Linked DNA regions of Diceros bicornis minor. The protein of the gene in region 1 interacts with the protein of each later gene in a biochemical or structural test. Links are inferred from orthologs where the notes say so. Each region holds a gene or a part of one and is shown in the gene's direction. Other genes may lie near its edges.

Region 1 (7,167 bases):
TTCTTCAGTCAGGCTGACCTAAACAGAGGCCGCCCTCCCTCCCCTCCCCAGTCACAGCTGTGTGTTGGAAAGCTGGATGGCTGAGGCCCCTAATACAGAGCAGACCTCCCAATCTCATCATTCCCTCCCCTTCCCCTCACATGGGTTTTCAAATTAAAAGTAAGCAAAAGCTAAGGCCTAAAAAGAAGGAGGGGAGTAGGAGGCACAAAACTATCCCCAGACTGAGGCAGCAGTGCTTTCTCCCCAGGAAAAGGGCATCAGAAAGTCCAGATCCTGAGGAGGTCCAGGCCCATTGCATCTTTCCCAACTCTGAGGAGTGTAGGCCCACCTGGGCTGGGCTGAGCCTGGCCGGGCAGCAAAACAGGGCTTACAATCTCTGGTCCTCTGTTGGGTCAGGAAGCAGTCTGTGATGTTAGGAACCCTTGGAGAGGGTGCAGCTGGTCACCAGCCAGAGGGGACTGCTTTCTGCTTCTCTCGGGAGACACATCTCTGGAGAGGAAGCCCCAAGGAACCCAGAGGAGACGCTGCGCCCTTAGATCCATCCAGCAACGGGGAAGAAGGGGAGGTGTGCCAGGAGTCCTGGAGAGAGGAGAACTGTCACCCCAAGTTACAGGCCGGTCCCGACCCTTTTGGAGAACTCTTCCTCCTCCTTTTCCAAGACTTGGGACTCTCTGCATTCTCAGAGTGCAAAGAGGCTCCAGCAAGCTTGGAAGCCTCAGCTGGGGCAGACCAGAGGCAAGGGCGGGGTCCTCGCCGGTCTCCCCGCGGGGCCCCCACGTTTGTGTGCCACATCCACAAGCCTCCTCTGAGCCTTTCCGACGCAGGTCCCTTTGCGGGGCCCAGGGAGGCGGCTCCTCCAGGGGCGGTCAAGAACTGACAGGGGTGGGGGAGGGGGGTAGTAGCGACGTTTTCTTTTGCAAACCACCAAAGGGCCCTTCAAATCAGAAGCTAGAAATGTGCCCCCACCCCATGAACTTCATTTGGAAAAAAAAAAATCGCAAGTTTGTTTACATGGGATTTTCACAACTAACGGCTTTGATTACTGCTACAGCCATAAGTCTTCTAAAGCAAAAGACCTTGTGAATTTCCCGAAGAAAGTAGAATTGGGGGTTGGTGCTGGAGAGCAGGGGAGGAGTAGAGAAGAAACAAAAAGCCAGCTCAGCGGCAAACGCCCACCGAAGCCGAAGGTGTGATGCCCGGAGCAGCAGCAGCGGTTATGGAGGAGTGGGGGCCCAAAGAGCCAGCCCGCGAGACGGCGCGGGGGCAGATTTTGTTTGTTTCAGACCATGTTTATCTGGTCGTAACAAGTTCGCGGGGCCCTCTTTTTGATGGCTGGCTCTACTACATCCCTTTATACCCTTGGACCCAATTTCATGTCGCCTGTGGGCCCAGACAGGAGAGGCCACGCCAGAACCGCCGCTGTCCCCAGACGGCCCGGCCCAGCTCAACTCCGGAGTTGGGCCTCCTTCCCAGGGGGTCGCAGCCGCTCAGACTCCCAGTTTGGGGAGAAAAGCCTCATTCTTAACCCCATGATGATGCCTCAAGGAAAAAACACAAGAGGTTGACAATCAAAATCCGGGTGCGGGCTGGGATTCTCGCACCGCCTCCCAGGCCGGTGAAGGTCACTCCCCGGGGCGCACAGGGCGGCCTGGTCCCCCGCGGTGCCCCGGGCAGAAGCCGAGGAAGAGGGGAAAAGACCAGGCGGCTTGCCTGCTGCGTCTCTGGGACCACCCAGGACCCCGGGTGTCGGGGGAGCAATCTGGCAGGATCTTAGAACAACATGGGGAGAGCGCAGCTCCGCTCGGCCCACCTCCCCCCAACGCCCAGGCTGACCGACGCGCGCAGACCCGACTCCCTGGAAGCCTCGGACCGGCGGCGGAGGGCGGACAGCACGATTCAAACCCGCCTATGAGCAGTGGGAGGTGCGGGTGGGAGGGGGCGGCGGGGCTGGACTCGTTTTCAGGAACGAACCGCCTCTTTTCCAGGGCCTCCAGCCCTCGAGGTTGCTCCTGAACACTGGGTTTATTTTGCTTTTGCAGGCGAGGCAGATGTTGACCTCTCTCCATCTCAGATGGAGTCTGGGCCCCCACTGCCCAGACTCGGAGAAATCTTCCCCAACCATTTGCTTCCCTGTGCCACCCCCCACCGGTGCGCTATCCCGGGAGTCAGCTCCCCAGGCCTTTAAACCTTCTGGAATGTCACACATGGAAACCTTTAGCAAATGTTTGTTAATGATCATAACAAAGGCATCATTCAAATTAGGCAGGTAATTACTACCAGAAGGACAACTGGGTGCTCACTTGCTCATCCATTCCCTCTGCTTTAAACTCGCGAGGAGTTACGGCCCGAAGACACCCCCGCCCAGCCCGCTTTTCGGGCCCCTTTAAGCGTCTCTGAAATGGACTGTGAAGGTACCATTTGTGGGCGGGGAGCGCGGGGCCCTGCGTTCGGGAGACCCCGGCGCGACCCGGCTGGCATTTTCCGGCAGCAAAGCAGGCCTTTCCTGGGTAGGCTCCCTGCCTCGCCTCCTACCCTCTTGGGTACTTGGTATAAAAACTTAGATGTCACTTGTCTTTATTAATAGCATGAAAGCTAGCACCCGCTTTTTCCTATTATTCCGCACTGTTTTTTTGGGGGGTCTTTAGTTCGCGTCCATTATCTACAAACATTACGGTATCCTGTTAGCATTCCGAACAAGGGGCTGTTCATATATCTGCCTTCAATGATTTCCTGAAGGAACATGTGGAAGTAATAGTGAGGAGTGCAGTCACCCGAACTGAAGATGCACGAGAGGCGGGCGCGCAGAAGGGCTGGGGGAACGGGGCCCCTGGCCCAGCCGCAGGCGTCTTCCCGAGGCTGACACCCAAGGAGCCCGTCCCAGTTAAGTACAGCATCCCTCGGAGTACTTCTCTGTGACCCTCCCCTGCCGGCCGTCCCGTGTCCACCCTCCCGATGAGGGAGAAGGTGATGGCTGTCCGACGTTCAAGTCTCAACCTGGCCGCCCTGGCCATTCTGAGACTGTGGGGGGTGGGGGTAGGGATAGAGGACGCCTCTCTCCACCCCACGAGAGAATTCAAAATTAGAGAAGGCGGGGAAGGAGAACGCGCTCCCCTCCCCCGCCCTCGCTCAGAAGCCCCACTCCGCCCAGGTCTGGTTCCTGGAGCATCAGCGCCCCCTTTCCTTCGCGGGCAGGATCGTTCTCTCCCGGCGCTGTCGAGCGCCTCGCGCCTTGGACATAGGGTTTGGAACTCCGCTCTCAACCCCAGGGCACTGGTAGGGTCTGACCCACGGGGCGGGGAGGGTCGACATGCACCCTCCCCCGAACGCGGAGGTGGCAGCCTTGCTGTAGACGATTCCCCAAACGCTCAAGCCTGAGCCTTTTTGTGTGCGTGATAGAAGCCAGGCAACGTCGCCCAGATAACCCCGAAAACAAAGACACGACAAGATAAGTGGCTCCAAGGGAGTAAAGGTCGTTATGTCGGAGAATGTTCCAAAGCTACGCAGATCCTCGATTCTTTGTACTCTCTTTCAAATCCCCCTTTTAAAACAAAACAAAACAAAACACCCCATCATCTTCATATTGGACTCAACAGTTTGCCTAATCCCATTAAAGGATTAGCAACTACACGGCACTTTCCCTAAAAGACCTCAGGTTCAAAACGACGCAACCGCTTGGAGACCTCTCCGGAAGGCCCTGTTTCTAGTTAGGCTAGGCATTTCTACAGAAGGGACACTTTTCAATTCCATATTTATATTGTTTCTCGGCATTAACTGCAATTTTATGGGTTCTTTTTCTTCCTTTCAAAGAGAATGCAAAGCAATATAGCAGCGTAGGAAAAGATCCTTCAAATCAGGAGGCAAACTCATTCTGGAAATGATGGGCAGCTTGTATTTTCACGAACCTCTTTCCCGGCAGAGCATCAACACCTCCCCTTTCCACCACCCCCACCCCATCTGGTCTGCTTCTTCCCGCCCCCCAGTTGTTGTCGAAGTCTGGGGCTTGGGGCTGGACCCCCTGATTGCGTAAGAGCAAAAGCGAAGGCGCAATCTGGAGGCTGGGAGATTCAGAGCGCACGGAGTTCGAGGGAAACTTTTATTTTGAAGAGGCCAAGGGAGGGGGGGCTTCATTTCCTGACAGCTATTTACTTAGAGCAAATGATTAGTTTTAGAAGGATGGACTATAACATTGAATCAATTACAAAAAGCGGTTTTTGAGCCCATTACAGTTGGAGCTAGAGGGAGAGAAACAGAGGAGGGGACGACTACAGGAGAGGACTGGAGGCCGTGGATACACTTTTTACTCCATATGTAGGATTTTCATTGCGAATTGACAGAGGAGGAGAAGGTAAGGGAGGAGAAAAAATGATTTTTGCTTCTAAGAGAAGTCCCCGATCAGGCCCTTTGGGCTGAAAGTGAAGTAACTTCACTCAAACTTTGGGCGATGAGGAAAAAAAAGTGGAGTTGAATTCCAGTAGTGTGTCTAGAGAGTAATTTATTTTGAATAAACTTCACTTGGAGGGAAGATAACCATAGAGTTCGAAAGTCTAGGGATTTAAAAAAACACATTTTCCAGACCTATTTTTAAAAGCAGTGTTTTTCTAACAACTCTACGGCCTCCCCAAGAAATTGTTTAGGCTTACATTTTTGAGGTTTCTTTTAGGGTTGGGGGTGGTATTTGTATACTGGGACGAGGACCAAGAAATGCTGGGAGTGGGGGCAGAGGTGTTTGCCCTCTTCTTGGCAGTGGATCCTGGAAGGCGACAGGTTTTTAATGAGTATTTTCATTCCTGGCCCGCGGTTTGGTGGGACAGCGCTGCAGCCGGTGGCGTGGAGCGCGGCTGGAGGACCGGGGGAGGGGGGAGAGAAGAGCGCCGAGTGGGGCGCGGAAAGGGTTGCGGGGAAAGGAGGCGTGAAGGGCTCGGCTGGAGAGGGCTGGACCTTGGTACCCGCCGGGTTCACATGGCGCCGGCCGAGCGCGCGGAATTACTGGACGGCGCTGCGCCGGGTGCGAGCTGGGGCCAGACTCAGCACAACCGTGGCGGCTGCAAGATAAGCCGAGGGGGCGCGGACTTGGGGAGCTCCCCAGTGGTTTGTGGGATCAGTGAAGTGTGAGGGAGAGCGGGCGCCAGCCCCGCAGTGCGCTCGGGTTGCGCGTCCTAGCGCGGGGGCGACGGCGGCGCGGGCGGGCGGGCGGGCAGGCAGGCAGGCGGTCTGGAGTAATGACAAACACATTTGGCCCCGAGTAAAGAAGTCATCGTCGCCTCGCATTCCAGCAACTGGGATTTGAGGAATTTCGAACTGCGCTCCAAGGGGCCCTCATTGTGCGCTGTGGTCCCCACCCCCACCCGTCTCTGAGCGCCCCCTTTCTCGGTGGAATCGTTTCTGCAAAACCCGGGGTTCTGCTGCTGCCCAGTGCTGGCCTCAGGGAGGAAGGAAGGAAGGTCGCCAGAAAAGTGCCGAACTTCTTGTGGGGAAGTTAGGGACGACTCGAAACGGAGAAACTTGGTTCCCAGGTAAGACAGAAAGGTGGGAGGCGAACCGCCCACACTACCTCCCTCCGGGCACCGGAGCCCTGGATCCCCCTCGCGTGCCCCTTTCCGCGCGGGGATGCGTGGCCCTCGCCCCCTGCACTCGCCCTGCCTGCTTCATCCTCTCCAGTGCCCCCTCTCTCCATTCCACTCCCTGCGCCGGCCTCCCTGCCCACTTCCGAGTTGTCTCCTCGAGCCCCTCCTTCCTCAGCCGTCTATCCCCATGGAAATCGGCGTTTACACGTGAGATTAACTTCTCCCGGCAGCGCCAGGGGATGGGGCGGTGTCCACTTGGCTCGGAAACTACTGGGATCAGCGGTTCTGTTCGGAAAGGGTCGCGGCCAGCTTAAAGCGAGAGGGAGTGTGGCCCGACACGAGTACCGCTGCCCGAGGGGGCCAGGAGCCCTGGCCGCCTGGCCAGGTGTGCGGGAGCTGCCAGTGGCCTGGCCTCGCGTCTCTGCCGGGAAGGAAGTGCTGGGCTGTCTGTCCGCTGTGGGTCTCTCCCGAAACCAGAGCGCCGGTCCCGCCCTTTGCTCCACCAGCCCTGCTAAGACCTCAGGATGTGCAGACAGTGTGCCTGGAAGAACTTGCCACTCATTCCATCTCGGAGGGTGAGAGGCAGACCTGGGCTGGAGAAGTAGCGTGGATGGCCCTTTTCGGATCCGGGCTGCCCCGCGCCGGCCGAGCTGCCTGGAAAAGCCCGGGGCTGGGCGGTGTGGGAAATGGCTTTTTGGCTTCGCAGCCGAATTGCTCAACGTTTTGGACCGACTCGCCTCACTTCGGTCGCTCCGACCAGAACTAGGCAGCCTCTCAGAGCAGAGAGAGCCATCCAGAGCAAATGGGGCACGACGATCAGCCGCACAGGTCACCAGACTAACACCCTAGAGCCCAGCGGGACCCCGGGGAGCTGGAGGGGAGGAACCGGCGCCCCAGGCGTGCGCACCCCATCCGCTGCCGCACTGGCTCTGGTTTTTACGTCCTTCACGCCCCTCCAACGCCCATATGACCCACCTGGACCCTACGGTCCCTTTCCCCTTTTCCTTCACCCTCGGCTTCCTTCTTTCCACGATCCTCACGATACAAGAGGCCCTTCCTCTGTCCCCCGACAGGCGAGGGCCTGACAAGCCTCGCTTTGACGCCCTGGTCAGTCCCTGCTTCGGGGCTCTTGCACAGTCTTGCTTTTGGTTTGACCCAAGTGTGGCTGGGCTCCAGGACTGGAGTCCTGAAAGCGAAGGGGGAGGCAGAAAGAGGAGGTGGGGGGAGGCACAGGGAGGGAACCCGTAGCTGCCCCTCGGCCCTTGCACAGCCTTTAGATAGACCACGAGGGACCTGAAGCAGAGCCCTGGCTCCCTGGGGCCACTTTCCTCCCGGGGCGCGGCCTGGGGCGGGGTGGAGGGGGAGGGGCATCGGGCCGGGCTTTCCAGCTGCAAACGCGTCTGGCGCCGAGGCGGGCGGGTTTTGTGCCTCCTGGGGACCGGCCGTGGGCGGCGCGCAGCGCCGAGACGCGTTCTGGGGACGTGGTGGCCAGCGCCTTCCTGCAGATCCCAGCGGGTGGGACTCCCTCTGGCCTCCGGGGAGCTGCGACGGGTTTACATGTTGCTGATGGAAAAGTGGCAATTCTGGGGGAAAAGCTAAAAGC
Region 2 (6,960 bases), on another chromosome or scaffold:
CCCCGTGCTTCCAAGTTTAGAGGCTCATGTCACAGGCCCCCTCCCCTCCTCTCACCACTCCTCAGGCGGGGTCTGGCATCTTTGCCCTAACAAGCCAAGACTCAGAGGGAGAAACAGGCAAGACATTTACTCACGTACTCATTCCTTCAGCCGACATTCATGGAGCAAGTACTGTATGGAGAGCTGCAGTGAGGCCCTCGCTCGTTCAGATCTCGGTCTAGTGCTAGACTGATAAACAGGCAATGACAGTACCACGGGGTACATGCTGTGGGAACCCAGAGCAAGCACCAAGCCTGGGGGGCTTCCTGGAGGAGGTGCCGACTATGCCGAGCCCGACACGAGGAAGAGGAGGTGTTCTTTAGAGAACTGCTGGTGTGGAAAGACCCATACGTTGACATGGGGTCTGCAAGGAGAGGAGACAGGAAAAGGGTTCTCCTTAGCGTGGCATTCAGGCCAGGTGCCATGTGGCCCCTGCTGCCTCTGCTGTCCCTGTCCTGCTACTTCTAACCAGTGCACCAAGACATCTGGATTGTAATGATTTGTGTCCATCTCACTCGAGAGCCTGGAGGTCCCGGAGTGCCAGGGCTGGGTCTCCTTCCTCATTCCATTTCCCAGTGCTTCCCACAGGGCCCGCATACAGTAGGTGCTCATTGATACTGCTCCCAGTAGCCTTCCCCACTCTGCATCCCTCCCCTGAGGCTGAGCTGTGTGCTCCCACAGCACTTTGTGTGTAAGTGAGGGCTCACGTCAGTACAGCTCCTTTCCGATGGCAAAGCACTTTCACAAATATTAATGTGTTTGATGCTCACAAAAGCCCTGTGTGAAAAGCGTCACTGTTGTCATCATCACACCTGCCAGGAGACAGCACAGCACGGTGGTTTAAGCGTGTGGGCTGTGCAGCTGGACTGCTTGGGTTCAAGACCTAACTCTACCACTTCCTGGCTGTGTGACCTTGAACAAGTTGCTGAACCTCTCTGTGCTTCAATTTCCCCATTTGTCAGATAGGAGTAACATATCTCATAGGAGCACCGAGAGGCTACACACAGAGTAAGAAGAACACTCCCTACCACACAGTCACCTCAATAATCATGGTGGCTGTTATCCCATTTATAGATAGGGACACAGAAGGCCACGGTCAAGACCACCCAGCTGTCCGATGGAGCAGGGTTTTATCTCTAAGTCTGTAGACTTCAGATCTTGTGTTTTGGGATTATCTTCCCATCCCCTCCCCCTCATCTCCCTGTCACCCTGTCTCCTAATTTATCTGTTTACGCATCTGTCTGTCCTTCTGGATGGGGCTCCCCCAGGTCAGAGTCTGTATTAGCATTTTGCTGTCTCCTCAGCGCCTGGAACGGCGCCTGGCCACCGGAACACGGGAAAGCTGTGTTGAAGGAAAGAGGCCCTCCAGGGGCCTGCCTTCCCGCTCTGCGCTTCCACACGGTTATCTCATCTGAGCCTCCAGACCACTCACGGCAGGTAAAAATTCTTCTACGACTGTATCGAGGTACAATAGACTGCACACATCAGTTTTAATATATGTGTATACCCGGGAACCCATCACCACCAGCAAGAACGACAAACATTTCCAGTACCCCTAAACTTTCCCCATGCCTCTTTGAAATCCCTCCCTCCTTCCAATCATAGATTTATCTCCAGATTACAGGGGAGGAAGTCGAGGTACAGAGAGATTGACCTTCCCAGAGACACTCGGCCATGAATGGCCACTCCAGGATCTGGGCCGAGGTGAGCTGGCCCCGGCCTGCCTCTGTGCCATGCTGCCTGGCAGTGATGGGCAGAGTGGGCGCCTGTGGTTGTCTGTAGAGAGGCCCTCTTGGGAAGCCCCCCTCCTCCACGCCGCCCTCACTCAGGTCCAAGGAGACAGTTTACGAAGAGACGGTGGGCATGCCTGTCTCGGTGACGAGGGTGTGTGCTGTGCGAGGAGCAGACTGACACCCCAAAGGGATGTTTGGGTACAAAGGGCAGATGACAGAGCCAGTGCAAGGGGACCAGATAAAGGTGTCCTAAAGCCAAGAGCCAGGTGATGCTGTGAGCCTGCGGGTCCCGTGGTGGGTGCTGGGCTCGGCAGGCGTGCGTGTGACTGTGACTGTGACCGTGTGACAGCTGAAGGCAGGGACGCAGCAGCTCCCAGAGCTGGGGGTGGAAGGCGTTAACTGTGTGAATGCTGGCGTGGGTGGGGGCCCTGGGCCTCAAACCTGGGGGGCTGAGGGAGGTAGTAAACATCAGAGTGACTGGAGGATCATGATGGCTCCCTGCAAGGATGCTGCAGGGCGGTGGGGGCTTGTGTGACTTTGCAGTTCAACAAATTCAAATTCAGCCAACGCTGGCAGGGCTTGTGGTGTGCCAGGCAACCAGCTAGGAGCAGGAGACATGGGCCCGGCTTTCAGCTGAACGGTCCCGGCTGCCGGGTTTGTGTGATCCCCTTGCGGCTGGCTTGTGGCTGGCTGCTTTCTGCCTTTTCTGGCATTCAGTCCTTACACTAACCCCATCCTACTTGGAGGCTGGATGGAGGAGCACAGAAAGGAAGTGACTTGACCAAGGTCACCCAGCAACTCAGCGCCAGGGCAGGATCTGAACCAAGCTGCAGGGCCTGAGTCCTTCACCATCCTTCCGTGCCAGGTGCAAATGTCTGGTCCTGGAGGTGTGGGCTTGGCCTCCTGGCCGGCCCTGGAGACATACCCCCACCACGTTGGCTAGAAAGCAGACCAGGTCACTGTGCCGAGGGGCGCGGCTGTTGGTCGCCCCTAGTTCTCTCTTCCCAAGAGCTAGATTCATGGACAGAGGGGCTGCCAGGCTCTCAGAGACCCTTAAGCGCCCCATCCTTGTCTCAGGCCCTCCCCGAGCTCCCGCCCCCCCTCCCCTCCCTCCTGGTGCTGACTCTCGGCCAGAAGAGGAAAGGCTGTCTCCACCCACCTCTCTCCTCTATAAAGGCCAGAACAGCTGAAAGGGTGGCAACTTCTCCTCCTGCCGCCGGGAGCAGCCCGTCTGCCTCCCTGCGCTCCCGCAGCCTCCCCCGCTGCTTCCCTGAGGGCTCCCGTCCGGCCGCCAGCGCCCATCTTTCATTCCCGAGATAGATATTTTGCGCACACACACATACACACACGCGCAAAAAGGAAAAAAAAGCCCACCCTCCAGCCTCGTTGCAAAGAGAAAGCCGGAGCAGCCGCAGCTCGCAGCCCGCAGAGGACGCCCAGAGCGGCGAGCGGGCAGGCAGACAGACCGACGGACTCGCGCCGCCTCCACCTGTCTGCCGCGCCCGGGCCAGCGCGCAGCCGGCACGCCGCGCGCGCGGAGCAGCCGTGCCCGCCGCCCGGGCCCCGCGCCAGGGCGCACACGCTCCGGCCCCCCCACCCGGCCCGGGCGGGAGTTTGCACCTCTCTCTGGCCGGGTACTCGGGCCGCAGCTGCAAAGCCAACTTTGAAAAAAGTTTTTTTGGGGAGACTTTGGCTTTGAGGTGCCCAGTTCTGCGCTTTCCGACTTCGGGGGCCTTTCCAGAAAATGTTGCAAAAAAGCTAAGCCGGCGGGCAGAGGAAAACGCCTTTAGCCGGCGAGTGAAGACGAACCATCGACTGCCGTGTTCTTTTTCCTCCTGGAGGTTGGAGTCCCCTGGGCGCCCCCACACGGCTAGACGCCTCGGCTGGTTCGCGACGCAGCCCCCCGGCCGTGGATGCTCGCTCGGGTTCAGGATCCGCCCAGGTAGCGGCCTCAGACCCTCGTCCCGCGCCCAGGCCCTCCCCAGCCCCCCAACGACGGAGACGGGGCCGGGGGCGGCGGCGCCCGGGGGCCATGCGGCTGAGCCGCGGCGGCGGCTGCAGCGGCCAGAGCGCCTGATCGCCGCAGACCCGAGCGGAGCCCACCTCCCTCCCCAGCCCCCGCCCCCCACCCTGGCCGCGGGGGCGGCGCGCTCGGTCCACGCGTCCGGGGCCCTGCGGGGCCGGGCCCGGAGTCGGCATGAATCGCTGCTGGGCGCTCTTCCTGTCTCTCTGCTGCTACCTGCGTCTGGTCAGCGCCGAGGTGAGTTGCGACGGCGGCTGGGGCTAGTTCGCTTCATTCATTACCCCCACCCCCACCCCTGACCGCCCTCGCCTCTCCCTGCAGTGAACTTTGGACCCTTGCAGCCTTTGGGCCTGGCGCCGGGCACTAGGTGACCTCCGAGGGCTGGGACGTGAGGTCCGGGAGGTGCCAGGCTCTAAGGGGAGGAGGCAGCGGTGGCTTTCTTTCCCATGGGCGATCCCACATTTCCGAGCTTCTAAGTGTCGGGGGAGGGTGTGTGTGGTCCTGTCTCCCACCCCTCAGGAACCCGAGAATAAGCCCCCTCCCGGCCGAAGGGAGAGGGGGTGGGGTGGTGCCGCGGGTGCAGAAGGCAGCGCGTCCTCCCGAGCCCACTTCGGTTCTAGCTTAGATTCTGTCCAGGACCCGGCTTGTCCGGGAGGTGCGACCTCGCGCACCGGTGACAGCCACGCCAACCTTCAGCGGAGGTTTGCGTCCCACCCTGGCTCCCGCTCCAGGTCGGGGTGGTCGCCCTCTGGCCCGCACAGGGCATGCCCAGCCGGAGAGCGCAGTCCAGGAGCAGCATGTGTCTTGGGTGCGGGGAGCGGGGGACGAGAGAGAGGTCTTGGGCACTCGGGATTAGGAGAGGAGTGGGGGTTCTTAGGAAATCCAGCCCCTGGGGCGCTGTGTGCCTGAGGCCCCGCCATACCTGCGCCCGCGCCCTGCGAGAGGAAGCACCTCTCCCCGGCTTGCAGGGTGCGGAGCGCGCCGCCTGTAAAAGCCTAGCTGCAAGGGAGGTGGGGTCTAAAAACGTCTGCGGAGCTCTCAGGTCGGATCAGTGCCCCCACCCTCCCAGGCTCACGTAGCAGTGAGTTGGCAAGTCTACCCGGAATCCAGGTGGGAAAGGGGGCGGGGCAGGGAGGAGGCGCGAGGTGGAGGCGAGGCGAGGGCAGCGGGTAGCGCGGCGTGCCAGGGTCCCGTCCCGCCTCTACTCGGCCGCGGCCGGGATCCCGCACCTCGCCCGCTCCCGGGGAGGGCCGGCCCCTCTCGGCCTCCAACGAGGCGCAGGGAGGCGGCGGCGGCGAAGGGGTTAAGGTGAAGGGCTCCGAGGCCGCGGCCCGGCCTTGGGCCGCCGCCAGCGCAGGTTGTTTTGACCACGGAAGAGCCGTCGCCGTCTCCTTTTGTTCTCCCGGCTCCTCGAGGGCCGCCGGCCGCCCGCCCTGGGGCCCCGCCCTTCCGCGGCCACCCCCTGCGGCCCGCACCCGGGAGGGAGGACGCAGGGCTCGGCCGGGCCGCCTGCAGGCCCCTCCCGACGCCCCCTCCTCTCCTCTCCTGCAGCCCCCCGGGCCGCGGCCAGCTGTTGGGGAGGGGGGCGCCGGCCGGCCCCAGCTGCCGCCTCGCCTCGCCGCGGGGCCTGGGGGCTGGGCCCGGTGCCAGGGCGTCCTGGGAACGGCGGCGCCCCCGCCGCTGCTCTCCGCAGCCCACCCCGCTCGGCCCCCCGACTGGCTCACTCACCCCACGCATGCACACTCTTGGCCGGAGGCGATGCTGCGCTCCGGCGGGCGGGCGGGCGGGCGGGCGAGCGCGCAAAGCGACGGGCACGCACTACCGCGGCCGGGTCGCGCGCTCTCCGCCGCCACGCCCGTGCACATGCGGGGCACACGCGCGCGCACCGCACACACGTGCACGCATGGCCCCCGCACACGCGGCCTGAGCACACGTGCGCGCACACCCACGCACGCATACGGGCACGCACGGTCCCTCTACACCCAGCGCCAGGTGCCCGCCCCCGCGCAACAGGTGGGTCCTGGAACCTCTTCACCTCTGTAGTGACCCCATTTCCTTCCTGGGTCTCATGAGGGAAGGGGAACCGGGGCCCTCCCATCAGGTCCCGGCTCGACGGAACCCCCTTTTTTTTGCCTGGTCAGGTCAGCTCCACGCCCCTCCAGCATTACCCTCTGTGATTGCTTTTTCCAGCCACCCCCGTGTGGCCGAAAGTGGTGGTGATGTGCCCTGGGGGGCGCTGTGATGTCCAGAGCATTTCTGTCTTCAAATGAGCCCTTCTTTGAACCTCCAAGACTGGAGGACCCCGAGCCGCTGAGGGGCTCCCACCCCCGACTGTTCTGGCTTCTTTGCTGATCCCGGCATGCTCAAGGGAGACCGAGTGACAGCTGGATGAGGCTGTCCCAGGCCTGCCCTCACCATTTCCAGCTTCAGCCAGCACCTTCTCCTCCTCTTCCACAAGTCTCATGGGTATGTGCGTCTAGGGAGGAGGCTGTGGCACAGAAGCTGGTGCCTTCTCCTCCCTTTAATCACAGCGTCCTTGAACGCATGGCCCTCAGGACCCACGATTGTGTGGTGCTTTGCAGTTTACGAAGCACTTTCCTGCTAGGCCTGAGTAAGCCTCAGGTGGCTGAGGGAGGAGACCTAAAGGGAAGACCTGCCGACATGGGGGCCAGTCCAGGAAGGGAGACTCTGGGAGGGCTTGCTGGTGGAGGTGGGCTTCGGGCTGACAGTGTCCCGGGCCTGCTTGGACTGAGCCTCAGGTGGAGGCTTCAGCAGCTGGGAAGGAGGGGTGGGAGCTCTGAGGCCTATGAGGTCCCATCTCCATCAGCTGAGCTGGCTTCCTGGAGGGTGACTCCCGCTGTCATGTGACGCCTCCGGCCTCAGCGCCCTTCTGCTGGGGAAGGAGTGAAGGAGCCCTGCAGGCCTTCACCACCCAGATGGTTCCTTGTGGTTTGCTGATGGCCTTAGGCGGTGGGAGACCCACCTGCTGGACTCTCCCAGTCCTGGAAGTGTGTGCAAGTTAGGATCAATCAGAATTTGGAGGCTTTGCTGCAAGACCCAGGAGCAGCGTGTGTGTGTGTGTGTGTGTGTGTGTGTGTGTGTGAAAGCGAGAGAGATTGATTCAGCAGGCGTGGTAAAGAGATGTTTGCCGTGGGCCTCATAAGT
Region 3 (6,976 bases), on another chromosome or scaffold:
CTGGAGTGTGAATGCGCGGGGTGTGGAGGAGAGGAGCCCAGCCAGGAGGGAGGCCACGGGGCGTGGGTTCTTACCCAAATTGGTGACCTCTTGGTCAAGTCGGTCCTCCAGTCTCCATTTCCAGGTCCTGGAAACAGAGTTCCTAGGGACCAGTTTCTTCCGAGGATCCAGGGGAAGGTGGGGCGTGTGGGGTCAGGGACGTCCCTGTCGCACCCAGGGCGGGCCTCGGTGCTCGCACGCGCGTCGTGCCCTGAGTCTCCCCCAAAGGCGGCTGTCGCGCGGCTGCAGAGGTTCCTGCCACCCTCGTGCGGCCGCTGTTGTCGTGGTCGCTATGACGACGTGCCGCGGTTTTATTTTTAATAGCGGCCGGCGATTAGGAGGCCCGCGCCGCCCCCCGCAGCTCTCCAGGCCTCGCCCTGCTCCCCGCCCTCGCTCTGGCCTCAGACTCCCTTCGAGGACGCCCCCCTTCCGCGTCCGCACATCTCCCTTCCTGGCCCCAAGCTCGAACTGGGCGCTTCTGAAATGCCAGGCTGGGAGGGGCGCAGAGGGAAGCACCCACCCAGGCCTGCTCAGAGGTGTTTCGGACCCCCAGGAACCGGAGACCCTCTGTGCAGAGGTTGGAAGTGGGAGGGCTGTGTGTGCTGTTCCTAAACACAACCGACTTGTCCTCCTTCATTCCCATACCCACTATCAAACCGAGTCTTTTAACCCCAAAGAAGTGTCCTCGGGTCTCCTCTGCCCCCGAGGAATCCGAGGCTCAACGGGCTGTGACGGCAGTCAGCTCTCCGGATGACTAGGGGTGGCTCGGACCCGTGTCCAGCCCGGGTCCCGGCGGTGCGCGTTTGGCCTCCTTCCAGCGGTCTCCCTCTCCGGAGCAATAGGAGGTTCCACCTGGACAGACAAGACTGGCTCTCACGTGCTTCTAGACGTTTCCAAGTTTTCCCTGGTTATGCTTCGGTCGTTCATTCTGACCGCCGGGGGAGCCCGCTGACAGCGGAGGTCGCATGGTGGGGCTGCGGCCTGGGGGAGGCAGGGCCGTGGGGGCTGCAGGTGTGTGAGGCACGTGGAAGGGCACTGTAGACCCGGGCCCTCTAGGAACCGCAGGAGAGGCCCCCTCCCCGCCTCCCCAGGTATTTGCGGGAAGGTGAGCACCCCCGAAGCGCCCTTGAAATGCCAGAGCCGGCTGGGCCCGGGATGAAAGACCGCCCGCGGGCTGCTCCTTTACTGCCTGTGTGTGGTGGGAGGGCAGCCGGCGGGGGCGCGAGTCTAATCTACAGGATGGGGCCGCTGGGGGCGGAGGGCCCGGCCGGGCGGAATTCTCGGCACCCACCCACCCACCCGGGCGTCTCTTGGCCTCCAGGGACCTCGGCCGTCTAGCTTTGGGGTCGCATGGCCAGTCTAGGCCTGGTACTCGAGCGACCCGCCGCTGGGGTCCGATCCCACCTGGTCCAGGCAGGCAAGATCTGTCCAGCCCAGGTGCACCTGCCCTTACGTGGCGGGGGAGCGGTCCGGCCCAGCTCAGGCCTCGGCCTCCCGAGCGTCGCTCCCCCGCACCGCCTCTGTGCCGCGCCTCGGCCGGAGGTGGCGCTCTGTGCGCCCAGCGGATCCCGGAGAGGGAGGCTCAGACACGGGGTTCCTCACGAGCGGCTCCTTTCTGTTCCTTCCCTTCCACCCTCGCGAGTTCTCCCGGCTTAGGCCGCGGCCCGGTCTTCCACGAGGGACTGGGGACTTGGGGACTCGGGGCCCTAGGGTGGGGACGAGGCACGCTGCAGCCCCCTCCTCCGACCTGGGCGCTCTCCTCTCTCGGAATGTGGGTGGAGGCCTCATCCAGACGCCCCGGGCACCGGATTCTGGGCGGGGGCGCGTGGCGGCCGCCAGGTGAGTGCCCCAGACGCGCCCCTAGACCCGCCCCACCTCCCACCGGAGACTCACTCCCCTCCTTTTACGGAGAAGGGGAGGCAGGGGCCCTGGATGCGAATCGTGGAAAGAGGCCCGAAAGCCGGGGCGGGGGGCGGGGGCCGGCCGCTTTTGCCCTTTTTGGCGTAGCAGCTCTGGGCGCTGCCCTCTGCCGCCGCTGAGGCCCGAGAGAGGCGAGCCGGCAACGGTGGAGCTTCTGCGGCGGCCTCCTCCCCTCCCCGTCCGGTGCCGCAGGACTGCAGCTGGCACGGGGGGTGGGCAAGCTCGAGGGAGGGGCGCGCGGAGCCCCGGCGACCGTGCTCGGAGCCGGGTGCCGCTTTGATGGATTTCACTGCCCGCGTGAGCGCGTGTGTGTGCTCACTGCGGCGGCGGCGGCGGAGGCGGCCGGGCCCTGCCCGGCCCCTGCGGCCCCCGCGCGCTTCCGAGGTGCGGGTCCGGGGCCCGGAATCCGGGGGAGGCGAGGGGGAGGGGGCGGGGGGAGGGGCGCGGTGGCGGCGGCGCTATAACCCCCTCCCCGCCGCCGGCCGGCTCCACACGCGCGCCCTGCGGAGCCCGCACAACTCCAGCGAGCCGGGCCTGCCCGCGCCTCCTTCTCCTCCTCGTCTCCCGGCGGTGGCAGCGGCTCCGGCGCGGCCCTGCGCCTGCCCTCAGGCCCGCGCGGCCAGGCCCCGCGCGGCCGCGGGCGCTGCCCGGCTCGGGCCGGCGGAGGGCGGAGCGCGGCGCCGGAGCCGAGGGCGCGCCGCGGAGGGGCGCACGCAGGCCGCCGGGCCGCGCCGTGCTGGGCCGCGCCGTGCTCGGCCGGGCGCGGCGGCGAGAGGAGGCCGGAGGCGAGCGCGGGGCCGGCGGTGGGCCCGGGGACCGTCCGCAGCCCGCAGCCCGCGGGGAGAGCGCGAGCCCGCGGCCGGGGCCCGGCCGGGCGTCCAGACAGGTGATGGGTGGTGCGGCGGCGGCGGCTCCAGCCTCGCTCCGGGGTCCCTCTCGGGGCTGATGGCCGCAAATATGCAGAATTACCGGCCGGGTCGCTCCTAAAGACAGCGCCGGGGAGCGAGCGCGGCGGCGGCCAGCACCGGGAACGCACCAAGGAAGAGGCCCAGCCCCCGCCCTCCGCCCCTTCCGTCCCCACCCCCTACCCGGCGGCCCAGGAGGCTCCCGGCGCGGCGGGCGCGGCGAGCGCGCACTCCCTGCTCCTCCTTCTCGCTGGCGCTGCCTGCCTCTCCGCACTCGCTGCTCGCGCCGGGCGCGCTCCGCCGGCTCCCTGCTCGCCGCGCCACCCTCCTCCGGGCCGCGCTCCCTGAGGGATGGTACTGAATTTCGCCGCCACAGGAGCCCGGCTGGAGCGCCCGCCCCGCGGCCTCGCCTCCCCGCCGAGCCGCCAGCGCCTCGGGACGCGATGAGGACCTGGGCTTGCCTGCTGCTTCTCGGCTGCGGATACCTCGCCCATGCCCTGGCCGAGGTGGGTGGCACCCCCCGCGCCCCGTCCCCTCTCCGACTCCCGCGGCGCACGCCCCCTGCGGCCGCCCACTGGCCGGGGCGCCCCGGGCTCTGCAGAGTGCGTTTTGATTTCTGCCAGGGTGGTCGTTTTTTAAATTTTCCCAACTGGGTTTTATTTTCTGCCATGCCTAAGTGTGTCTGGTGAGTTTCCAGCGTGTTGCGTCGCTTTGCCGTGAAGGGACGGAGTAGCGGCGGGGTGGACGAGTGGGGAGAAACTTCGGGGGGCGCGGGCTCCTCTCTGGGGAGGGAACCCGGGGCGCGGCGTGCAATGCAGTATCGGGGTGCGGGGAGCGCGGAAGGGGGTGTGTGAGAGCCGGCAGAGCCCGGGGAGGGGAGGAGAGCGGCCGAGAGGCAGGTAAGGGTAGCTGCGGCGGGAGCCCCCGTAGGCGAGGTGAGCAGTGCGGGGCCACAGCCCCCGGTTCCCGGTCCCCAGGCCCGGGGGGGCGCCCAGGCCCGCGCAGTCCCGCCCGCTCCGGGCCTGCTTACAGGTGGCTGCGCGAGGCGAGCCGGGGCCGGGCCAGGCGCCCGCGCCCTCCCACCGCCGGCGTCCCCACCCCCCAATCCAAAATCCCGAATCCCCGGGAGCCCCGCGGTGATGAATGACTTTCTGCAGCTTCCGTCCTGGGAACTTGGTGCTCGAGACCCCCCGGCGACCCCCGACTCCCTTTAAAAACCAGAAAGGAGCGGGGGGAGCCCGGCGTTGGGGGTGGTCTGGGCACGGCGGGGGAGCGGCGGGAGGTGGATGTTTAACTCTCGCGTCCCCAGCAGCCTCTCCAGCGCCGGCTGCATTTGGGGCGTCTCGGTCGGCGCTAGGGCCGCGGCTGGGCCGGAGCCTGGGGTGGGGCGAGTGTGTGAGTGTGGGTGTGAGTGTGTGCGCGCGCGCGTGAGCCGGAGAGACCCTCTTCCCTGCAGGCTCGGCCCGGGATTCCGGGGTGTGAAATTTAAGCCCCTGGCTGGATTAAAGTGTTGGGGCCGCTGTGACTTTGGTCGCCGATCCGTGACGCATTTCAACTTGATCTTTCTCGATGTCGATTTCACTATTAAATCGGAAACTCCGGGCCCCTCGCCGCCCCCAGACCTCCCGTAATCGACACCCCAGGGGGCGCGGGGCTCAGGCTTGGAAATATAGGAGTGGGGAGGACTTTCGTTTTGCGAAGAGCAGACAGGGATGGGGACTGGGGATTTGGGGTCTCACCCAGCCCCACCCCCAGCCTCCACCTCCAGGGCCCTGGCGGGGGGCGGGCGGTCTGCGCGCTAGGGGCCCGCGTGGGTCGGGCCGGGGCGGAGTCGAGGGCCACCTAGGCCCAGGGGCCAGGCGCGCTCTGGGGGCGCTGACCGTGTGGCTCTGCTTGCAGGAAGCCGAGATCCCCCGCGAGGTGATTGAGAGGTTGGCGCGCAGTCAGATCCACAGCATCCGGGACCTCCAGCGACTCCTGGAGATAGACTCCGTAGGTAAATCGCGCCCCTTCCCTTGGCGCGCGGGGAGGGCTCGGGCGGGCGGTGAGTGCGCCCCGGCTGCCTCCTGCATTCGGGCCAGGCCGGGCGCCGCGCAGAAGCGCACCGAAAGGTCAGAATCCAATCCCGGGCCATAAAAGCCCAGGCGGATGAGTCAGGCGTTTCTCTTCCAATCACCGCTTTCTCCTCCGGCGGCGGCCGAGGGCTGCTCGCTCGCCCAGAGATTGTTTTTGCATTTAAGGAAAATGCCTCGTGTGTCACAGAAAGTTCAGCCGCAGAGGGCGCCGGCGTCCCGGCCAGGTGTGCGGCCCGCGCCTGCCCTCGGCCGGAGGAGCGCGGGACCAGCCCAGGCCCCGGGCGCAGAGCCCTGGCCCGGGCGCGCGGCGGGCAGGCGCGCGGGGGGAGCCAGTGCCCCCGGGTCGGGCCCCTCTGTCGTCGCTGCGGACTCGTCCGGCTCCTGCCGCGGGGCTGGGCCTTTGTGGTTGCAGGAGGCCCGTGCCTTTCCCTTTTCACGAGCCAATAAAAAGGCGCGCCTTGGACACATCTGCTGTTTGGGGACTATTTTGGGGCTCGCCCTCGGGCCCTGGAGCCGAGCCACTTTAGAAAACGGTTTATTTGTAAAGCGGAGTTTGGAAGCTCTTGAGCGTCGTTGCGGAGTTGGACTGGCCCCGGGGTGGGCAGAAGTGGTTGGGACCCAGGTTGGCTGCGCTGGAGGGTGGGTCAGAGGGAGCCCCTTCAGAAGAGAGGGATTCTGGCCCGCATCTTGGTGGGTGGGAACTCGGGTGTGAGATTTAACTAGGAAAATACTCACATGGAAAACTTACTGTTGATGGTGAGAGAGGCCCCAGATGAACTTGTCAAACCCAGCAAGTAGAGGCAGCTGGGGTTGGTTGGAAGAATTTTAAGTGAAATGAAGATTTTTCTCTCACTGCAAACTACTGCGAAGTAGGGGGGCAGAGGGGAAATTCAGTAAAATCACATGGTCTAGTCATTTGGAAATTTGTACCTAATTATGGTGGTGGAGAGAGAGGTCTGACTATTTTCATTTCATGCCAAAACCATTTTCTAGCAAGGCCGCCGGTTTCTGTAGTTTCTTGACCCAGGAAATCCTTGGGCTGATCCTTATCAAGAAGGGGGTAGAATTTCACTTGGAGATCAGAGTTGGGCCGGGGGGGATTCTGATCTGGCTTCTTGCTGTGTAGCCCTGGGGAGAAGGTTTTAACTCGGGTTTGCTGAGGCAAATACTCGCCTGCATTTTGCTGGTCCCTGATGGATTTGGGAAAGTGGGGAGACTGTCTCCCCCAGAAGGTTCCAGGGTTTTTTTTTTTGGTTTGCCCAAGCGAGCCCTGTGATGGGCCCGGCCTCCTTGCGGGATGGTTTTGGGATGCCACCGGGAAATGGGCCATTCACCTTCTGCCGGTCCCATTCTTATTCTGGTCTCTGCCGCCCCGCCTCCCCCAGCCCCCACCCATTAACACTTTCAGCCTGGCAGCTGTGGGGTTGTGTGGACTGCATTCCTGACCTGGGGGCTTCTGGGCCCCGAGCCTCTTTGGGAGAGTCCAAACTGGAGCAAGGATGCCCCAGCCAGTTCGCCGGATAGCTTCAGATTCTCCCTTACAGAAGACCAGGGGGGCTCGTCTCTCTCCTGTCCCAGAGAGTACAGAGTGGGTCACCTGCCCCCTGTCCACCTGTCAGACGTTTTAGAGACTGAATATGATTCTTGGGGCGAGACTCCCACTGCCTGGGAAACTTTGGGGTGAGAACAGAGGAGGGGCCTCAGGAATCTTCCTTGCTCACTAGCCCTGCCCCTAGGGCGACCCTTTGTGACACAAACCCCAAGGTGGGTCTCCTTGCTCCTGATCCAGCCCCCTTTCACAGACATGGATGCTGAGAACCAGGAGCCCACGGTCTCTCACCTGAGCACCGGAGCCGCCCCAGTTGCTTCTATAGCTTGTAATAGGGGCCTTGTCTCGACTCCTGTCGTTCCTGAAGTGAAAAGTTGATGCTGGGGGAGGCTATAAACAGCTGGGGGGTCAGTTCTCGGCCCTCCAGGCCCTGGACTCCACACTGGGTCCAGCCAGAAGCCCATCTGGAATCCGTGTGGAGGGGGCTA
Region 4 (7,503 bases), on another chromosome or scaffold:
GACTGCATTTGAAACAATGATCACAAAGTGAAAGGCTCCTTCTCCCATGACCTTTGAAATAAGAGGGTCACTATCTCAAAAAGGAGGATCTGTAGCTGTGTCTTGACCTCTCTACGATGATTTGTCACCATGCGGACAACAGCCCTCATATCCTATACGTGATTTCAAGAGAGAGAAAAATGACATCTTATTGACTGGAGGATATGACCAACCATAGTGTTCGGCTGCTGTCCACATTCTTAAGGGGTGCCCTTTGCTCCCAGGATTGCTTTACATTCCACCAGTGTGACTCTATAGAACAGTAGGAGATTGGTTATCTGTTCTTGGCTAAAAACAATATTATTTCCTTATTATTAACAACTCACTTATGCACTATAGCTATTTTTCTTTACCTTGGGACCACATTTTGCCTCTCTTGATATTGTTATCATGATACCAAACAAATAGTAAAAATTAAAATCTGGATACCCACACATAATTTATTTAATTTCCTTGAATTCAATAAAATTCCTGATACTTGCCCTAGTCAGTGATTTCCAAACTTTTTTTCCCCTTCTTTTTGGTTACCAATAGAATTTGTTTTTCCAAACCATAATAATAACAGGTAAAAGAAGACTACTTTGATTGGAGAAGTTTAGGGAGAAGTACCTGTTCATCTTCTCTTGCCAGCCACCAAGAGACCTTTGAGTCAAGGCCAGGAAACCATTATTCTAGTCAAGTATTGTCACAGAAGTACAATTAAGTTGAAAAAGTATTGCCATCACCACCTAGAATAGCTCAGAGACCCAAAGAATTCTAAAGCAGTAAGAGGATTGAGACAGAATCCAGTGGAAATGTCTCATGTAAAGAAAAAGGGCAGAGAGGATTTCTAGATCAAGGTTGCACTGTTTGTTAGTGGTAAAGCCAGACTAAGTCCCTGGTCTCCCATCTCCCAGTGAAATGATCTTTTGTTGTGGTGGTTCAAAGGTTACCATGGCTTCTCTTTCTTTGGGACTGTTTCTGGCTACTTACTCTCTCTGAGTTCTGAGTCAGACAAACACTTCCAAGATTTTGGAAAAAATCTATGCATACTCAACCATGATTTCAAAAAGGGAACAGCAGCTTTACTTCAATGGGAAAAGCCAAAGAGGCCACCAAAGGCCAGTCTTTGCCACCCATTTCTCACGGTCACACACCTCTAACTTCCCACTTCCCAACTTCCTTTCCCAAAAAAGTTAAAATTAAAAAGTACATCTGTTCCTTTGAGAGCAGGGCCTTAGCACAACCCTCTACATCTGCCACAGGAAGCAAGCCTTTCTCAGATTAGTAGTTGTTAACACTGGGAAGTAAAGGCAGACTGATGTAGAAGAATAAAAAATAAGAAAAAACATATTTTACTATTTCTAGGTTGGAAAAACAGAGTATTACTATATCCTAGATACTTAGAAATAGTACAGTCGTATGTTTCTCAAGATAAGATAATTGGAGAAAGTGAAGAGAGAAAAGGATAACTCTAAGAGACACTACTTTATTTTTTTCTTTTTTACCCGCAGAACAGTTTTTATTCTTGTGGTGATCTGTGGCCATTTACTTTGCTTACTAATGATACCCCAGCCCCTCGCCTCATATATATGTATGTGTAAGTGTTGTTTATTAGCCGTTCTGGAAACATAATAGACATTTAGGTAGAATAGAGCTTTCTGAACTTCTCAAACTCATGCTCAACTTTCTGCCACTAAAAAACTGAAAAGTTCTGGGAAAAGTCTTAAAATAATTTTGCTGGTATACCTTTATGTGTGTGTGTATGCCTGAAACATACATTGAAACAGAAGAAGAGAGCAGGAAAATTTATAATATTTGATATTCTGAGGCAAAAATATGTCCCTGTAGTTCCTGCTTTCCACAGTTAAGTAACTAGCTAAAGGTGTAATTTGCTTTAAAATTTTATATCACATAAAAGAAAATTTAGTAGTGACACCCACCCTCCCTCCCTGAAATTATCATTGTTAATAACTGAGTACATTCTACCATACGCTTCAAGAAGAATTTATAGGTAACGCTCTTCATGCATTCAGCCAGAGTGGGCACTCCTTCCTAAGGTTTAAAAAAACACGAAAACCACAAAGAATGTTTGCAATTATTTTCTCTTGGTTGTCGGAACAGATGCCTTTCCTCAAGGAAAATGCTTCAGGCCAAAACAAAGCAATATTCATTCAAAATATATTGTTTAGTAACTGTGCAGACTCTGGATTACATGAAATTTACTTTTAATGCAAAGATTGCGCTTTCCTAGGAAAGGTTTATAAGTAAAATGGAGCAGGAAGACAGGCAGACGATAAAGTGTTAAAAGAATCAACTATACCAACGGCAGGAGCAGTTCAAGAAACAACAATGCAAGTACGTTGAAAGGAAACTGGGCAATGTGGACATGATTTTGTCTAGAGGTCATGCAGGAGCACCTGGCTGGCTTTATTTATAAGGCAATTGTCAAATCAATCTGTAGAATATGGATGAGGTGAAACACAGAGGTAGAGTATTATTCTACATCATCTGTAACTTTTCAAATACAACCTTCATGCTGAAATTCCCAGGAGAATGTAAGTGACTCCAATAAAGAAACCTGTCAGTCAGTCAAGAGTGTTTATTCATTATCCCCCTGGGCCAGGCACTGTTCTAGCCAATATGAAATGATACAAAATAAAGAGTAGTCATCACGCTTATAATCTCCAGAGAGCAAATGGATTACATCTGCAAACACATACTCACACACACACACACACACACACACACACACACACACTCTCTATGTGGGTGGCCAAAAAACTCAACTATGCAAACATATGACAGCCTCACTTAGAAAAATCCTGATTAGAATATTAAACTTACAAAATGAGAAAAACTGGGGAGTAATTACTTTTATTACGCATAGATTAAAATGCATTCATAACGCATGTCTTTTACATAACAAGTCTCATTATGCTATTAAAATTGGGAACACTCCCCTTCTCCCTCAAAAAGCTACACAACGTTTTTGGAACATATTTTTTGTGCAAATATAGATTCACATTGGTATTGAGGAGCTATTAAAGGGAATAAAATAACAAGGCTAAACTCTAAATTCTTTCAAGTCAAAGACTGGGCCTTATTTGTCTTGATATCCTGTACTCTGAAGACAGAAGTGGTAAAGAAGAAGAAAGAATGAATGGAATAGGTGAGTAGAGGTTTCAAAGAGGAGCTGAGCTTAGTAGAACTTTAAGAGAGGAAAAAAGAAGAGGACTAGTTACTACAAACACAGCTCAGGTTGGTTGGTTTCAGTCGGTGCCCAAACATAGGAAGAGGGCGTGGTATTTTCAGCATGACTGAGGAAGGGTCAGCTGCCGGGTTGGTCCGGTAGGTGTTGTGTCCCTGCCTAAGCACTCCTGGATCCTTTTTCAGGGCAGCGCTCCTCGATACTCAGTAGACAGCCTTGCAAGGCCAGGAAAGGCAGCTCCTTAAAAAGAGGCATTTGAGACTCCACCCCTATTTCGGCAGACGCCTTAAGGGTGTAGCCTCCCTTCCAATCCCGTAGGGAGCACCACACGTGGTCGAATTGTTTGCATTGACTTGTTTCACAAGACGTTGGGTAATATTTCTGATTTGCTTGCCATGGCACTTGCTTGATATTAATTTAATGTAGCCCAACTAGTATGCAAGCCTCAGAGGACAGAGACTTTCCTCTGTTTTCACCACCACAGCCCCAGCTCCTACAACAGTGCCTGACACAGTAGGCATTCAATAAAGACCGTACTTGTTAAACGAATGAATGTTGTTGTTATTTTGGCCGTTTGTCTTGACTTTTGCTTTATCCATCACGCTTCAGAGAGCTGGAAAATGGAGAGAATGGAGAGAAATCCTTGAATTCCAACTTCCCTTCTTCCTTCGCTTCAGAAACTCTGGCCAAGGGTCCCGGACAAGCCCTTTGGGAATGGGGATCCCCTCGGAAATTAATAACGAGTCACGGCCACGGGGGGCGGGGGAAGAGGCAGAGTTGCAGGAAGTTCTTCCCCACTTCAGTCTGCTTTTTGCAGCATCCTTTGCCACCCATTCTGCTCTTTATTTGGGGCGAGGGGTGTCCTGTGGAGGAAACCAGGGGCCGCCCTGGCTGCATTCCTCGCCGGGGTCGTTGGGGTCCCGCCTGTAGCGAGCCCCGCAGCACCCCCTGTCTGTGCCAGCACCTGCTGGACTGCCAGTTGGCGGCCCTAGCCGGCGGGAGCGACGCGGCCCGGGGCTGCCCCTCCCCGAGGCGCCGACCCCCGCCCGCCCCTGCGGCCGCCCGCGGGAGAGCGGCTCAGCCTCCCCCGCTCGCCGGCCGCGCTCCGCCCGGGCTCGGCCCACGGCCCCCTCCTCTCGACTGCCGCCGGGCTGGGGGAAGGTAGCGAAGGGGAGGGGACAAGCCGGAGCCTTGGGTCGCCCGGCCTTCTCTCTCCACCCGGTGCCGAGACGCCGCGCCGGGAGCTCCGAGGTTTGCGCGGAGCCCGAGGCGTGGCAGTCGGGGACGGGGAAGGACCGGAGCCCCGCGGTGACCCCGAGCTGCCGAAATTCCCTTGGCTCCGAGGAGCGAGGGACGCACCCGAACAAGGTGAACTTTGGTCGCGGAAAACTCCAGCCAGGTGCCGGAATCCGTGCTGCGGCGGTGGGGACCGGGCGCAGGCTGCGCGCCGGGCTGGGGAGCAGGAGCCCCGCGGCCTCCCTCCGCCCGCGCCCGGGACACCTCGGCCCGGAGCCCCCCGGCCCCGCTCCGGCTCCGAGGCCCCGGGGACCCGCCGCGGCGCCCTCGCCTTGTTTCTTCCCCCTCCCCCTTCGGGGGTGGGGGTGGGGCGGGGGAGAGGGGCGCCCGGAGAGCCGCATCTATTGGCAGCTTTGTTATTGATCAGACACTGCTTGCCGCCAACTTGGCTTCGAGGCTGGCTTCGCGCGACCCTTGAGTTTTCGCCTCTGTCCTGTCCCCCCAACTGACAGGTGCTCCCAGCAACTTGCTGGTGACTTCTCGCCGCTCCCCCGGCTCCCCCGCGTCCCCACCCCCTCTTTCCTCCCTCGCCTTCACCCCCACCCCCACCACTTCGGCACAGCTCAGGATTTGTTTAAACCTTGGGAAACTGGTTCAGGTCCAGGTTTTGCTTTGATCCTTTTCAAAAACTGGAGACACAGAAGAGGGCTCTAGGAAAAAGTTTTGGATGGGATTATGTGGAAACTACCCTACGATTCTCTGCTGCCAGAGCAGGCTCGGCGCTTCCACCCCAGTGCAGCCTTCCCCTGGCGGTGGTGAAAGAGACTCGGGAGTCGCTGCTTCCAAAGTGCCCGCCGTGAGTGAGTTCTCGCCCCAGTCAGCCAAATGCTCCTCTTCGGGCTTCTCCTGCTGACATCTGCCCTGGCCGGCCAGAGACACGGGACTCAGGCTGAGTCCAACCTGAGTAGTAAATTCCAGTTCTCCAGCAACAAGGAACAGAACGGTGAGTCTTTCCCCCCCAACTCCCCCTTCTGTTTTCTCGCTGTGTGCGTTACGTTGGCATTGTGCGTTGGTGTGTGATGTACACCAGCCTGCGAGGGTATAATCGTCTCTCTATCCATGCAAATACGCGCTGCGTTCATTGGCGTGGACTTTTGGGGGTTACGTGCAGTTTGCAACTTCGGGAGCTGCTACAGAGCTCTAACAGGGCAACGTGAGTGCCACTGCAGCCTCAGCTAGAGAGAGGACACCCTGGGAGCGATTGTGAACGTCAGTTCAAACTCACATTGCAGGACCTCTCGTTGCCAGAGTTATAAGTTCAAGAGCTGCTTCTAAAAACGAATCCAAAATGAATGAGTCCTGGCATGTTTGACTTCACTCAGGTTTTTTTTTTTTTTCCCATTGGGGAGGTGGGTGTTTCAGGAAATGTATCAGCCACATTAATTGCAGCACTCTAAGTGGAAAGGCATCAATTAATCAGTAAGTAGATAGGAAATACAGAGGTCAGGAGGCCGTGTGGACGTTTTTAGGGGGAATTAAAAAAGTGTACTTCTCTTGAGCTCTATTTTTTTTAAAAATGTGCCTTTGTACTCTGAAGTCCTTACCTTTCTGGTAGTGTGTTTTTCTATGTGTTGGTGAATGACTGCTATTTTGTGTGTGCTGGAAACGACTTAATCCTGCATAGGAAATGAGAATTACTTTCAGCTTTCAAGTGTACCTGAAATGTTTAGAAAACTCTCAGATGCAAGTTCCCTTGGGTTGGGATTGCACAGAGCTGGAGAAAGGCTTCTTTCATAAAGCCAGGGCAGCTTCAGGGTGTGTAATTTGCTTAGCCTCTGAACCCCATATGATTTACATCATTCAATTTCTAAACTCTTTTTCTCTTGATCTACCATTATGAAGTCATTTTTGAGAATACTTTGTAAATAGAAATTTTATACTGCACATGAAACCACAATGTTAATGTAGACTGTCTAAAATTAGAATATTAAACACCCTGTTTACAAGTGGTGGCTCTAAATGTTCTTTGAAAGGAAATGTACATGTTTTTACTGCTTTGCATGTCATCTATTCAGAATGCAAGAATGCTGTCACTTCATTAACCAGGCGAAATGAACACAAACAGCATACCTAGAAAATCAAAATGGTGTGTACTATATTTTTAAGTCACAGCAACTTTTTCTTTATGTGTTGGGGTGTTTCAAAGCTTCAACTTTGAATTTAAACTCTCTGAAGTGTTCACCTTTAAGAAAGTACAGAAAGTTCTAGAGTACAAAAGTAGACAAAATAAGGATTCCTGGGACTTTTGTAGAGATTGTTTATATTTGTTGTATGTGCAGCAATACACAGTATCACATTTATCAGCCAATAATAATGTGGTTGCTTCCTACAACTTGCTAATGTGACCGCACATGGCACCTGCAGGCTGCTTGAGCTGCTGATCAAAGGGCAGCCTAGGGATCTATTCTGTAATCACAGGAGCTGCAGAGGACTGGGAGAAGCAATCAAAGGAGCCACAGCACTAGCGGTACCCAGGCAGGAAACAGATCAGACCAACCTTTGTTCTTTCTCATGTAAAATAAATGTCCAGTTCAAAATATTGCTTCTTACTAGACAAGCTTCTCCAGCATGACAATGCGTAATATTCCTGGCTTCTGTGTTCTGTTTTTTATTGTTCCTGTCCCATATCATTTCCCTACTGCTCTGTCTTATCAAGTCTGTCCTGGCATCTGTCATCTTCCTGATTCCCTTTGCTACTTGTGCCTCTCATTGTCCTTTCCTTATTGTTCTTTCTTGTGATCCACATACCATCATCCCTTTGTAATGGGTCCCAGAGGTCTCATACGGTCGTTGGCCACTTTACTGAGTAGGTCCACACCCTCTGAAGAGGTGAGTTCATTAAGCCTGACCACACACATTCTGTTGCCATCAGAGGCTGGGCCATTGCCATTCCTAAGATGCATGGTGTTAAAAATAGCCTGGTTGTTTCCTAATCTGTGGGCAGAGTATTGGGCTATGTTTAGCTCTTGGGAGGTTGG

The links.
Region 2: the proteins of PDGFRA (region 1) and PDGFB form a complex in vitro, tested with the Homo sapiens proteins (3 studies listed by BioGRID). The link is inferred for Diceros bicornis minor from reciprocal best matches to the Homo sapiens genes PDGFRA and PDGFB.
Region 3: the proteins of PDGFRA (region 1) and PDGFA form a complex in vitro, tested with the Homo sapiens proteins (2 studies listed by BioGRID). The link is inferred for Diceros bicornis minor from reciprocal best matches to the Homo sapiens genes PDGFRA and PDGFA.
Region 4: the proteins of PDGFRA (region 1) and PDGFC form a complex in vitro, tested with the Homo sapiens proteins (2 studies listed by BioGRID and IntAct, with this or other methods). The link is inferred for Diceros bicornis minor from reciprocal best matches to the Homo sapiens genes PDGFRA and PDGFC.

The regions. Positions count from the first base shown.
Region 1 is NC_080747.1:42,185,822-42,192,988, forward strand, and holds the start of PDGFRA (platelet-derived growth factor receptor alpha), read left to right. Parts: upstream 1-4,163; 5' UTR 4,164-4,345; intron 4,346-7,045; exon of another isoform or gene 7,046-7,167. UniProt on the Homo sapiens protein: Tyrosine-protein kinase that acts as a cell-surface receptor for PDGFA, PDGFB and PDGFC and plays an essential role in the regulation of embryonic development, cell proliferation, survival and chemotaxis.
Region 2 is NC_080764.1:10,876,798-10,883,757, forward strand, and holds the start of PDGFB (platelet-derived growth factor subunit B), read left to right. Parts: upstream 1-3,953; 5' UTR 3,954-3,969; coding exon 3,970-4,032; intron 4,033-6,960. UniProt on the Homo sapiens protein: Growth factor that plays an essential role in the regulation of embryonic development, cell proliferation, cell migration, survival and chemotaxis. Potent mitogen for cells of mesenchymal origin.
Region 3 is NC_080765.1:13,954,980-13,961,955, forward strand, and holds the start of PDGFA (platelet-derived growth factor subunit A), read left to right. Parts: upstream 1-3,974; 5' UTR 3,975-4,007; coding exon 4,008-4,259; intron 4,260-4,763; coding exon 4,764-4,860; intron 4,861-6,976.
Region 4 is NC_080750.1:44,820,510-44,828,012, reverse strand, and holds the start of PDGFC (platelet-derived growth factor C), read left to right. Parts: upstream 1-4,482; 5' UTR 4,483-5,350; coding exon 5,351-5,468; intron 5,469-7,503. UniProt on the Homo sapiens protein: Growth factor that plays an essential role in the regulation of embryonic development, cell proliferation, cell migration, survival and chemotaxis. Potent mitogen and chemoattractant for cells of mesenchymal origin.